3 linked regions of the Macaca mulatta genome follow. The protein of the gene in region 1 purifies or fractionates together with the protein of each later gene. This does not show direct contact. Links are inferred from orthologs where the notes say so. Each region holds a gene or a part of one and is shown in the gene's direction. Other genes may lie near its edges.

What was found.
Region 2: the proteins of PTPN5 (region 1) and MAPK3 purify together in Homo sapiens (affinity purification with mass spectrometry; 4 studies listed by BioGRID and IntAct, with this or other methods). This does not show direct contact. The link is inferred for Macaca mulatta from reciprocal best matches to the Homo sapiens genes PTPN5 and MAPK3.
Region 3: the proteins of PTPN5 (region 1) and MAPK14 purify together in Homo sapiens (affinity purification with mass spectrometry; 3 studies listed by BioGRID and IntAct, with this or other methods). This does not show direct contact. The link is inferred for Macaca mulatta from reciprocal best matches to the Homo sapiens genes PTPN5 and MAPK14.

What each region holds. Positions count from the first base shown.
Region 1 is NC_133419.1:46,658,300-46,662,429, forward strand, and holds the end of PTPN5 (tyrosine-protein phosphatase non-receptor type 5), read left to right. Parts: intron 1-1,629; coding exon 1,630-1,790; intron 1,791-1,881; coding exon 1,882-1,995; intron 1,996-2,425; coding exon 2,426-2,519; 3' UTR 2,520-3,526; downstream 3,527-4,130. UniProt on the Homo sapiens protein: May regulate the activity of several effector molecules involved in synaptic plasticity and neuronal cell survival, including MAPKs, Src family kinases and NMDA receptors.
Region 2 is NC_133425.1:28,441,187-28,444,817, forward strand, and holds part of MAPK3 (mitogen-activated protein kinase 3), read left to right. Parts: intron 1-2,156; coding exon 2,157-2,346; intron 2,347-2,529; coding exon 2,530-2,646; intron 2,647-2,907; coding exon 2,908-3,022; intron 3,023-3,405; coding exon 3,406-3,537; intron 3,538-3,631.
Region 3 is NC_133409.1:146,147,110-146,149,463, reverse strand, and holds part of MAPK14 (mitogen-activated protein kinase 14), read left to right. Parts: intron 1-116; exon of another isoform or gene 117-586; coding exon 587-760; exon of another isoform or gene 761-1,525; coding exon 1,526-1,593; 3' UTR 1,594-2,354. UniProt on the Homo sapiens protein: Serine/threonine kinase which acts as an essential component of the MAP kinase signal transduction pathway.

The sequences.
Region 1 (4,130 bases):
AAAACCGGGTCTTCTTGGAGTTTGAGGGAATTTACTTTTGTCCATAAGACATTACAAATACCTGGCCTGAGCTTGGTTCTGGGTTGGGTACTGTGAACACAGAGCTTCTCAAAGCTTGGACTCTTTCCTCGAGAAGCATGTATAAGATGGTCAGTACTGAGCTAGAGATAGGTATATAGAATATAGGATATGTATATCATATGTTAAATTGGATGAATATAGGATCTATATCATATGTGTATATATAAAATATAATATAAATATATGAAATACATAATATATATAAAATATAAATATATATATATATATAGGGGTGTGTGTGTGTGTATATATGTATAAAAGAAGGACACTCTGTCAGCTAATGTGCTCAGGGAGGGCCTCCTGTAAGTGGTGGTGCCGAATGGGGTCTTGAAGGATAAGTAAGAGTTGACCGGGGCAAACAAGTCAGGAGAGCATTCCCAGTGAGAAAAAAATAAAACAAAGGACATGGAAGATGGAACACTTGTGTGCACATGTGTTTGCATGTGCTGCTGAGATTTTACCTACAAACCTTTCGGAGTGTGGGAGCATTGAGTACAAGTACACAGGAGCAGGAGGTGTGTCTGGAAGGGCAGGCCCTGTAGCAGTTGTCTTCCTAGCCAGGCGAAGGACTGAGAAGAGTAGGTCTTATTCTGAGAGCAGTGAGAGACATTGAAGGATGTTGTGGTCTGCTCAGGCTGCTATAACAAAATACCATAGACCAGGGAGCTTGTAAGCAACAGGTTTATTTTTCACAGTTCTGGAGGCTGGGAAGTCCAAGATCAAGGCACCATGACCCTGGTGAGGACCCACTTCCAGGGTCATGTCCTCACATGGCAGAAGGAGTGCAAGATCATTGAGGCCCCTTTTGTAAGAGCACTGATCCCATTTGTGAGGGCTCCGTTCTCATGACTTAATCACCTCAGAGGCCTTCCCTTCAAATACCACCATATTGGGGTTTGGTTACAACATGTGAACTTAGGGGGACACACACATTCAGTCCAAAGCCATGCGTTTGCAGCAGGAGAGCAGCATGTCCAGAAGTGTGTTGTACACAGACTATTTTGACTCTGTGGATCTGAGACAGTTGGGAATGAGGCAGAAATCTCCCACACTCAAGCAATGATAAAGGTCAAGGTGGCAGTGAAGCGGGGAGTGTGAAGAGGTGGTAAAACTTACAGCACCAATTGCAGCACTAAGATAGAGGTGAGTCACGCAGGCGAGGCAAAGCAAGAGGAGGAGAAGAGTCCTGGGGCTGGGTTATGTGACAAAGGGATGACTGGGGGACCATTTGTTAAGATAAGGAGCCCCGGAGACAGTAATAAATTGGAGAAGGGGCTCTTGGCCCCTCTTGGACGATCCTGAAGTCGTTGGGGCAGGACCAAAGACAAGATCCACGCCAACACCACTGACCAACCCCCAAAACTGAGCTGGCTTTGGGTCTCTGTCTGGTGCCACTGGGCAATATGGCCTAGATGGAAGGGTTAAGGGGTTCCACTCTCTGTGTGCTTCCTGTGTTCTTCTTCCTCCCATCCCATCTCTATCTCTGGGCTGGTTTGTGAGCTGAAGGAGTTCACACATACCCGGGGTGGGCCTCTGTCTCCTCGACAGAGTGGGACTGAGGAGCGAGGCCTGAAGCATTACTGGTTCACATCCTGGCCCGACCAGAAGACCCCAGACCGGGCCCCCCCACTCCTGCACCTGGTGCGGGAGGTGGAGGAGGCAACCCAGCAGGAGGGGCCCCACTGTGCCCCCATCATCGTCCACTGCAGGTGGGTCCTCCCAGCCAGCCACTGGAGCGGGGCAGCCCCCCACCTGCTGGGCTGCCCTGCCCCTCACCCCACCGGTCCCCTCGGCCCTCAGTGCAGGGATTGGGAGGACCGGCTGCTTCATTGCCACCAGCATCTGCTGCCAGCAGCTGCGGCAGGAGGGTGTGGTGGACATCCTGAAGACCACGTGCCAGCTCCGTCAGGACAGGTCAGCCCATGGGTGGGGGCTGGGCACACAGGGGAGCTAGAGCCTCGAGGGGGTAGAGGGAGAGACCCACATGTGCATTGGGGGGCGAGGGGCAGATGGAAAACACTGGCATGGACTGATGGGCAAACAAGGAGTAGCGAGAACAGCTGGGTAGAGAGGCAGGATCCAGACGGTGGGGGGCCGGATGAAGAGGGAAGAAAAGCAGAGCTGCTGGACAAAAGGACAGAGGCTGAGAGGCTGAAAGCGGTAGGACATGTCATCTGTGTCCCTGATAGGAAGGGGCAGAGGGTAATGGTTGGCAAGGGTTGGTCTCTCCGAGATGCACAAGGACAAGGCCTGGCAAGTGATGGCTACTCCGTGGCTTTTGAGGCACCCTCCCACAGCCCATCCTTCCATGACCCTGCCCCCACTGTGCATCTCTGCCGGGCAGGGGCGGCATGATCCAGACATGCGAGCAGTACCAGTTTGTGCACCACGTCATGAGCCTCTACGAAAAGCAGCTGTCCCACCAGTCCCCAGAATGACTGCGCTTCTCCTGCAAGGTTCTCTGGGCACTGCCCAGCCTGAGTCTCGGCCCTCACCCAGGGCCCCGCCTTGGGTCCTGGGCCTGCTCCCCGCTTCCTCCCCTTCAGTCAGCTCCCTCTGTCCTCTCTGTCAGCCTGGCCTGGCCCCTACCCTCCAGCATTGCTCTTCCTACTGTACATATTGAGGAGTGGGGGCAGGGTCGGGGAGGGACATGCCAGGTCGGGCCTGGGGCCCCAGGGCCTGATCCACACCACACAGACCCCGGGCCCCAGTTTTTAACGATGGTCCCATCAGTACCTGATCCAGAACGTTTCCGTGCCACACTCTGTGTCCTGCTGCGGTGTGTTCTGTCTGTCCGTCCATCTCTGCTGTCTGTACCGGACACTGTGTCTCCTCGGCCAGGAAGGGGTGATGAGCTCCAGCCCCTAAGCAACCTGGGCGGACTTGCCTGCCTTGGCCTCACCCGCACTTCTCCCAAAAGGCAGATGACTGGGAGTTAGGCATGGGGAGCTCCGGAGGGCTACCAGAGTTCCAGCTGAGGGAGAGGTCTCTAGGTTGGAGTGGGCATCACAGCCAGGGTGGCCTCTGGGTGTCAGATGCCCTCAGGAGGGTGCCCAGCCTGTGAGGCACTGGCGAGGAAGGGGGCAGATGGGGCGTGGAGAACCCAGAGGATCTGGGCCCTGTTGGGGAGGGGAGGGGAGCTCAAGGTTTGGGTGGGGACTCAGCCCCAGATCTATGTGAGACATTTTTCGTGTCACTGTGGGAAAGCCTTCCCAGAAGTCTCACTGCGTGTCGCTCTGCGTGTGTTCCCATGTCCATGCGTGTGTTGAGAGCCCACCAGGAGGGCATGCATGACTCTGGCAACGTGTGTTATCTTGGAGCCACGTGTTTTTATTGCTGACTTTAAATATTTATCCCACGGCAGACAGAGACATTTGGTGTCTTTTTATAATTCGCTCGTGGTCATTGAATAGAGCAATAAACGGAGCATTTTGAGCAAAACTAACCACCTGGGTCTGTGTGATTTGCCACTCCCCTCTACTGCCTGCCTTCATGTACCTGGGTCTTTGTGCCCCTCCCCAGCATGAGCACACAGAGAGCTTGGCCTTTCTGCTCACTGGAGCCCCTTGTGGAGACTGGGAGTTTGGAACGAGTCCAAATTTGTAAAGCCAAACTGGGAACATTCTGCAGGATTCTCACACAGCCTCAGCCCTGGCCCTGACAGATGCTCTGGGCCAGGTGTGGAGCCTCAAGGACAGGTGTGGAAGGCTTCCAAGGAAGGCACAGTGGCTGGCAGGTCACCAATTCCAACAGACGTGCCAGAGAAGCCAAGGCTAGAGCAAGTAGACATTCAGGTCGCACCCAGGCCCCTTCCTGTTGGCCAAACACTTATCCCTTGTGGGCTCCACAGGTCCCAACAGCAGCTGCAGCCCAGTAATTTCCCTTGTAAGGCCTGGGCTCAGAGTAGCTTCTCCCAAGGGGCCCAGGGAATCTGCATGTGGACTGAGATCCTGAGCCATCCTGGACACTCCTGCTCTATTCTTGTCCCCTGCCCCCCTGGGATGGAGCAAAAGTAGCCATGATGCCACTGCTGGCAGGTGGGGGTCACC
Region 2 (3,631 bases), on another chromosome or scaffold:
CCCAAGAGCGGGGATTTGTATTGCGGTGTCTGCAGCCCCCACCACAAACTGTGGACAGGAAATCTCTGTGCTCACCCCCATCTCGCTGTGTGGTCTGAAGCAAGTCACTGCGTCTCACTGGGCCTCCCCAGCTCTAAAACAGCAGGGCTGGTCCACATATCCTCTGAAGACCCTTTCAAGGCAGATTCTTATTTTCTTTTTTTTCCTTTTTGAGATGGAGTCTCCCTCTGTCACCCAGGCTGGAGTGCAGTGGCTGGATCTCAGCTCACGGCAACCTCCACCTCCCAGGTTCAAGCTATTCTCCTGCCTCAGCCTTCCAAGTAGCTGGGACTACAGGCGCCCGCCACCACGCCCAGATAATTTTTGTATTTTCAGTAGAGACAGGGTTTTGCCCTGTTGGCCAGGCTGGCCTCGAACCCCTGACCTCAGGTCTTCAACCCATCTTGGCCTCCTGAAGTGCTGGGATTACAGGTGTGAGCCACTGCACCTGGCCTCAAGGCAGATTCTAAAAGACAGCCCTGACTTATTTTTCCAGAGACAAGCCAAACGGCATTTGTGGATTTATTTATTTATTTACGCATAAGCTTTGTTTTATCTTCAAATAGAAAAAGACATTTTACTCCTCCATCTTCTGAGGTATGGCCAAGCACTCTTCTTTGAGTGGGAGTGTGCTATTGGGAGTGTCTCCTCATTTTTCTTGCGCAAACCATTCCCATAAGGCAGGCATTTATTTTTAAGCAAACATTTATTGCATGCCAGATGGTGTTCATACATTATCTCATTTAACTCCCTCAACAGCCATGTGACTCAGGCATTGATATTAGTAATAATAGTTCATGTTTGCCTAGCACTCACAACTTGCCTAGCACTGGGCTGACAGTTTTACATGCGCCATCTCATCTAGTCTTCACAACCACCCTCAAAAGAACCATTATTTCATGGCTCGCACCTGTAATTTCCAGCACTTTGGGAGGCCGAGGTGGAAGGAACACTTGAACCCATGAGTTCAAGACCTGCCTGGGCAACATAGCAATAGCCCGTCTCCACAAAAAGAAAACAAACAGGCCGGGCGCGGTGGCTCAAGCCTGTAATCCCAGCACTTTGGGAGGCCGAGACGGGCGGATCACAAGGTCAGGAGATCGAGACCATCCTGGCTAACACGGTGAAACCCCGTCTCTACTAAAAATACAAAAAACTTAGCCGGGCAAGGTGGCGGGCGCCTGTAGTCCCAGCTACTCGGGAGGCTGAGGCAGGGGAATGGCGTGAACCCGGGAGGCGGAGCTTGCAGTGATCTGAGATCCGGCCACTGCACTCCAGCCTGGGTGACAGAGCGAGACTCCGTCTCAAAAAAATAAATAAATAAAATAAAAAGAAAACAAACAAACAAAAAACACATTATTTCCCCTACATACCAGATGAGAAAGTTGAGGCACAGACAGGTTGAGCTCCTAAAGCCAGTAAGTAGTAGAGAGGAGATTTCAGACTTCCATGGGTTAAGTCCAGAGTTGCTGCTCTTTTTGTAGTTTTCTTTTTTTAATTAATTTATTTATTTATTTTTGAAACAGAGTCTCACTCTATCATCCAGGCTGGAGTACAGTGACATGATCTCGGCTCACTACATCTGTCTCCCGGGTTCAAGTGATTCTCGTGTTGCAGCCTCCCGAGTAGCTGGGATTACAGGCACATGCCACTGTCCCCAGTTAATTTTGGTATTACCAGTAGAGACAGAGTTTTGCCATGTTGCCCAGGCTGGTGGTCTCAAACTCCTGGCCTCAAGCGATCCTCCCGCCTCAGCCTCCCAAAGTGCTGGGATTACAGGCATGACCCACCACTCCTGGCCCAAGTTGCTGCTCTTAACTGTGAAGTTCTCCGGCCTCCCACAGTTTATTATTATCCCTGTTTCCCCGGTAGGGAAACTGAGGCCACAGAAGTGAAGCCCCTTGCTCAGGATCAGCAACTGTGACGCGACAGAGGCTCAGAGCCCTGCCGCTGGGTAACGGCAGCAGCTTGCCCAGCTGGTGGTGCAGGTTGGCAGATCTATTGAGTCCCAGGGGCCCTGGCTGGAGGAGATGTGCAGCCTCGCCTTCAGAGCCTGTTTTCCTTAACCAAGTGCCTCCCGCTGCCCCCTCCCCGGGGGTCTCCGGAACCATCCTCAGCTACATTGTGCAGGACCTGATGGAGACTGACCTGTACAAGTTGCTGAAAAGCCAGCAACTGAGCAATGACCACATCTGCTACTTCCTCTACCAGATCCTGCGGGGCCTCAAGTACATCCACTCCGCTAATGTGCTCCACCGGGATCTAAAGCCCTCCAACCTGCTCATCAACACCACCTGCGACCTTAAGGTCAGAGGGTTGGGCACCTGTCCCCTCTTCCCCCAGGGTCTGGGGCTTCCAGGTGACCAGTAGAAGCCTTGGGCAGGAGAACATTGCAAGCAAGGGGAACAGTGGAGGCAAAGACAAGGGGGCGTGACTGCTTAAGCTGCAGAGGCCTTGAGCACTGAGCTTAGCAGCTTGGTCTGATTCCAGATTTGCGATTTCGGCCTGGCCCGGATTGCCGATCCTGAGCATGACCACACCGGCTTCCTGACGGAGTATGTGGCTACACGCTGGTACCGGGCCCCAGAGATCATGCTGAACTCCAAGGTAGGAGGGGCTGCCCACTCCTGAAGGGAAGGGACCAGGTCCCAGGAAGCCCTGGAGCTACCTCCGAGCCAGACACCGACCCCCATGACACAGGAATTCCACCCTCTGGGCCTTGGGCTCTGCAAGGAAGCTGAGCATTGAGCCCTCCAGGCCTCTGCCTTCTGCCTGGTGTTGGATCTAACTTGGAGATGGTGGCTTGGTGTAGAAACAGGACCCTGTTGAGGCTGGCCCAGGAGCCCACCACTTCCTCCTCTCTCCCAGGGCTATACCAAGTCCATCGACATCTGGTCTGTGGGCTGCATTCTGGCTGAGATGCTCTCTAACCGGCCCATCTTCCCTGGCAAGCACTACCTGGATCAGCTCAACCACATTCTGGGTGAGGGAGGCCCGGCTGGCTGAGTGGGGGATGATTACCTTCTCCAAGGTGAGATTTCTCAAGAGTCCAAGTCAGGGATACCACCACGTGTGGGGCGCCTCCAGCATCTCATGGTATCTCAATGAGGTATAGATATTATCCCCATTGGATAGATGGGAAAAGCAAGTCTAAGTCCCACACCTAAGGAGGCACCAGACCTAGGATTTGAGCCTCGGTCTGCCTGAATCCAGCCCCCTTGCTCTGCACCACCTTGCTAATGACTAGGAGGTAACTGAGGGATTGGCATGGGTTGCTGGGCTGGGGGTCTTGTTCTTGCCTTGTTGCCTGTTCTGTTCCCAGAAAGAAGGAGGTGATCATTTACCAAGTCACCTCCTTATCCACAGGCATCCTGGGCTCCCCATCCCAGGAGGACCTGAATTGTATCATCAACATGAAGGCCCGAAACTACCTACAGTCTCTGCCCTCCAAGACCAAGGTGGCTTGGGCCAAGCTTTTCCCCAAGTCAGACTCCAAAGGTTTGAGAGACATGAGGACGGGTGTGGGATAAACCCTGGGTGCCATGGAGGGTACGGGAGCCCAGCAGCAGCTGGAGGAGACAGGCAAAGTGAT
Region 3 (2,354 bases), on another chromosome or scaffold:
GAATATTTATTTGTCTTATGTTAGTAAATAAACAGCGAAGGGGGACAAAAAACAACAACAACAAACACACAAAAAACAGTCCTGCCTACCTATTCTAGATTACTGTAGCTGTAGGCTTTTGTTTTTATACAGTTTGACTACACTGGTAGCAGTTTGACATTGACGTTCCACAAAAGCCTGTTCAAACACAATCCTAGTCATTTAAAAAAATTCTTCTTTAGTAACATGTTCTTTAAAAATACAAAATACAGGAGGAGGGTGAGGGTTGAGAAATAACCTGTTGGGCACAATGTTCACTATTTGGTTATTGGGCACACTGGAAGCCCAGTCCCCATCCGTGAGACCCATGTGACAAATGTGCACGCGTACCCCCGAATCAAAAATAAAATAAAACATTTTAAACATACAAAATACAGATACACACACACACGTAAAGGAGAAAAGGGCCAGTATATCCTAGAGTAGGTATTTTTGGAGGAGAATTCCTTGTTTGGATATGAAGGGTCAAAACTATGTTTGCTTAATAAGGCATACTTTTTTGTAACATATTAAAAACTATTTTCCTTCCTGTCTATGGTACTGATAGCTGTCGACTTGCTGGAGAAGATGCTTGTATTGGACTCAGATAAGAGAATTACAGCAGCCCAAGCCCTTGCACATGCCTACTTTGCTCAGTACCACGATCCTGATGATGAACCAGTGGCCGATCCTTATGATCAGTCCTTTGAAAGCAGGGACCTCCTTATAGATGAGTGGAAAAGTAAGTCCTAAGGGTAGGATTAACATCTTGTACCACTAACCGAAAGCGGTGGGAAAATAAAAACTGAATGGTCATAACCAACTTGCTAAAGCTTGTAGTTGAGGTCTGTAATGCAGAATGAATATGTTCTCTGGTGGAAAGTGTTGTAGACAGTGATACTCTCTGGACCTTTGAGATACTTAACATCTGGTCTGATTTTATGCACAGCCCCTCACATATAGGAGCTTTGCATGGAGATTTGAGGTTTTCAGAGTTATTGCATTTACAACATCTCTCTGAGCTAAGTAAAGAATAGGATATTTTTACAGTTTTACAGTTAGTAGAACTGGGGCAAAGAGAATTTATGTCTTACCAGTTAACTTAGAACTAGTTAGGGACATAGCCAGGAATGGAACCCGTGTATCCTGTGTCCAGTCCCATATTCTTTCCATAAAACACAAGTTCAGAACTCCAGTTAAATCCAAAGAGCCAAGACCATCTGTTGCCGTAGCTTGTGAGAGTGCTCTTTCATTCTTGAGCACCTCCGTAGAGAACTTAAGAGGCATTCAGCAATGAAAAACATGAGGAAAAAAAAAGGTTCTTTTCTATGTCCCTCGAACTTCTGTGTGATAACGTGCTCCATTAGAATATTACATACCAGCTGTGAGGTAGCCCATCATACCACTACCTGGACAGGGAGGAAGGATCTTGAGTGAAGTCAGAGTGCTCGCCAGCAAAGAGAACAGCCTAAACTCTCACGTCTTACTTTTCCTTCCCGATGTCTAGGCCTGACCTATGATGAAGTCGTCAGCTTTGTGCCACCGCCCCTCGACCAAGAAGAGATGGAGTCCTGAGCACCTGGTTTCTGTTCTGTCGATCCCACTTCACTGTGAGGGGAAGGCCTTTTCACGGGAACTCTCCAAATATCATTCAAGTGCCTCTTGTTGCAGAGATTTCCTCCATGGTGGAAGGGGGTGTGTGTGCGCGTGTTAGTGTGTGTGCATGTGTGTGTCTGTCTTTGTGGGAAGGTAAGACAATATGAACAAACTATGATCACAGTGACTTTACATGAGGTTGTGGTGACTTTACATGAGGTTGTGGATGCTTCAGGGCAGCCTCCACCTTGCTCTTCTTTCTGAGAGTTGGCTCAGGCAGGCAAGCTGCTGTCTTTTTAGGAATATGTTCAATGCAAAGTAAAAAAATATGAATTGTCCCCAATCCTGGTCATGCTTTTGCCACTTTGGCTTCTCCTGTGACCCCCACCTTGACGGTGGGGCATAGACTTGACAACATCCCACAGTGGCACAAGAGAAGGCCCACACCTTCTGGTTGCTTCAGACCCAACGCTGTCCCTCAGTGATGCGTACAGCCAAAAAGGACCAACCGGCTTCTGTGCACTAGCCTGTGATTAACTTGCTTCGTATGGTTCTCAGATCTTGACAGGTGTATTTGAAACTGTAAATATGTTTGTGCCTTAAAAGGAGAGAAGAAAGTGTAGATAGTTAAAAGACTGCAGCTGCTGAAGTTCTGAGCTGGGCAAGTTGAGAGGGTTGTTGGACGGCTGCTTGTGGGCCCGGAGTAACCAGGTAGCCTTCAGAGGCGGTCATGTGTGCAT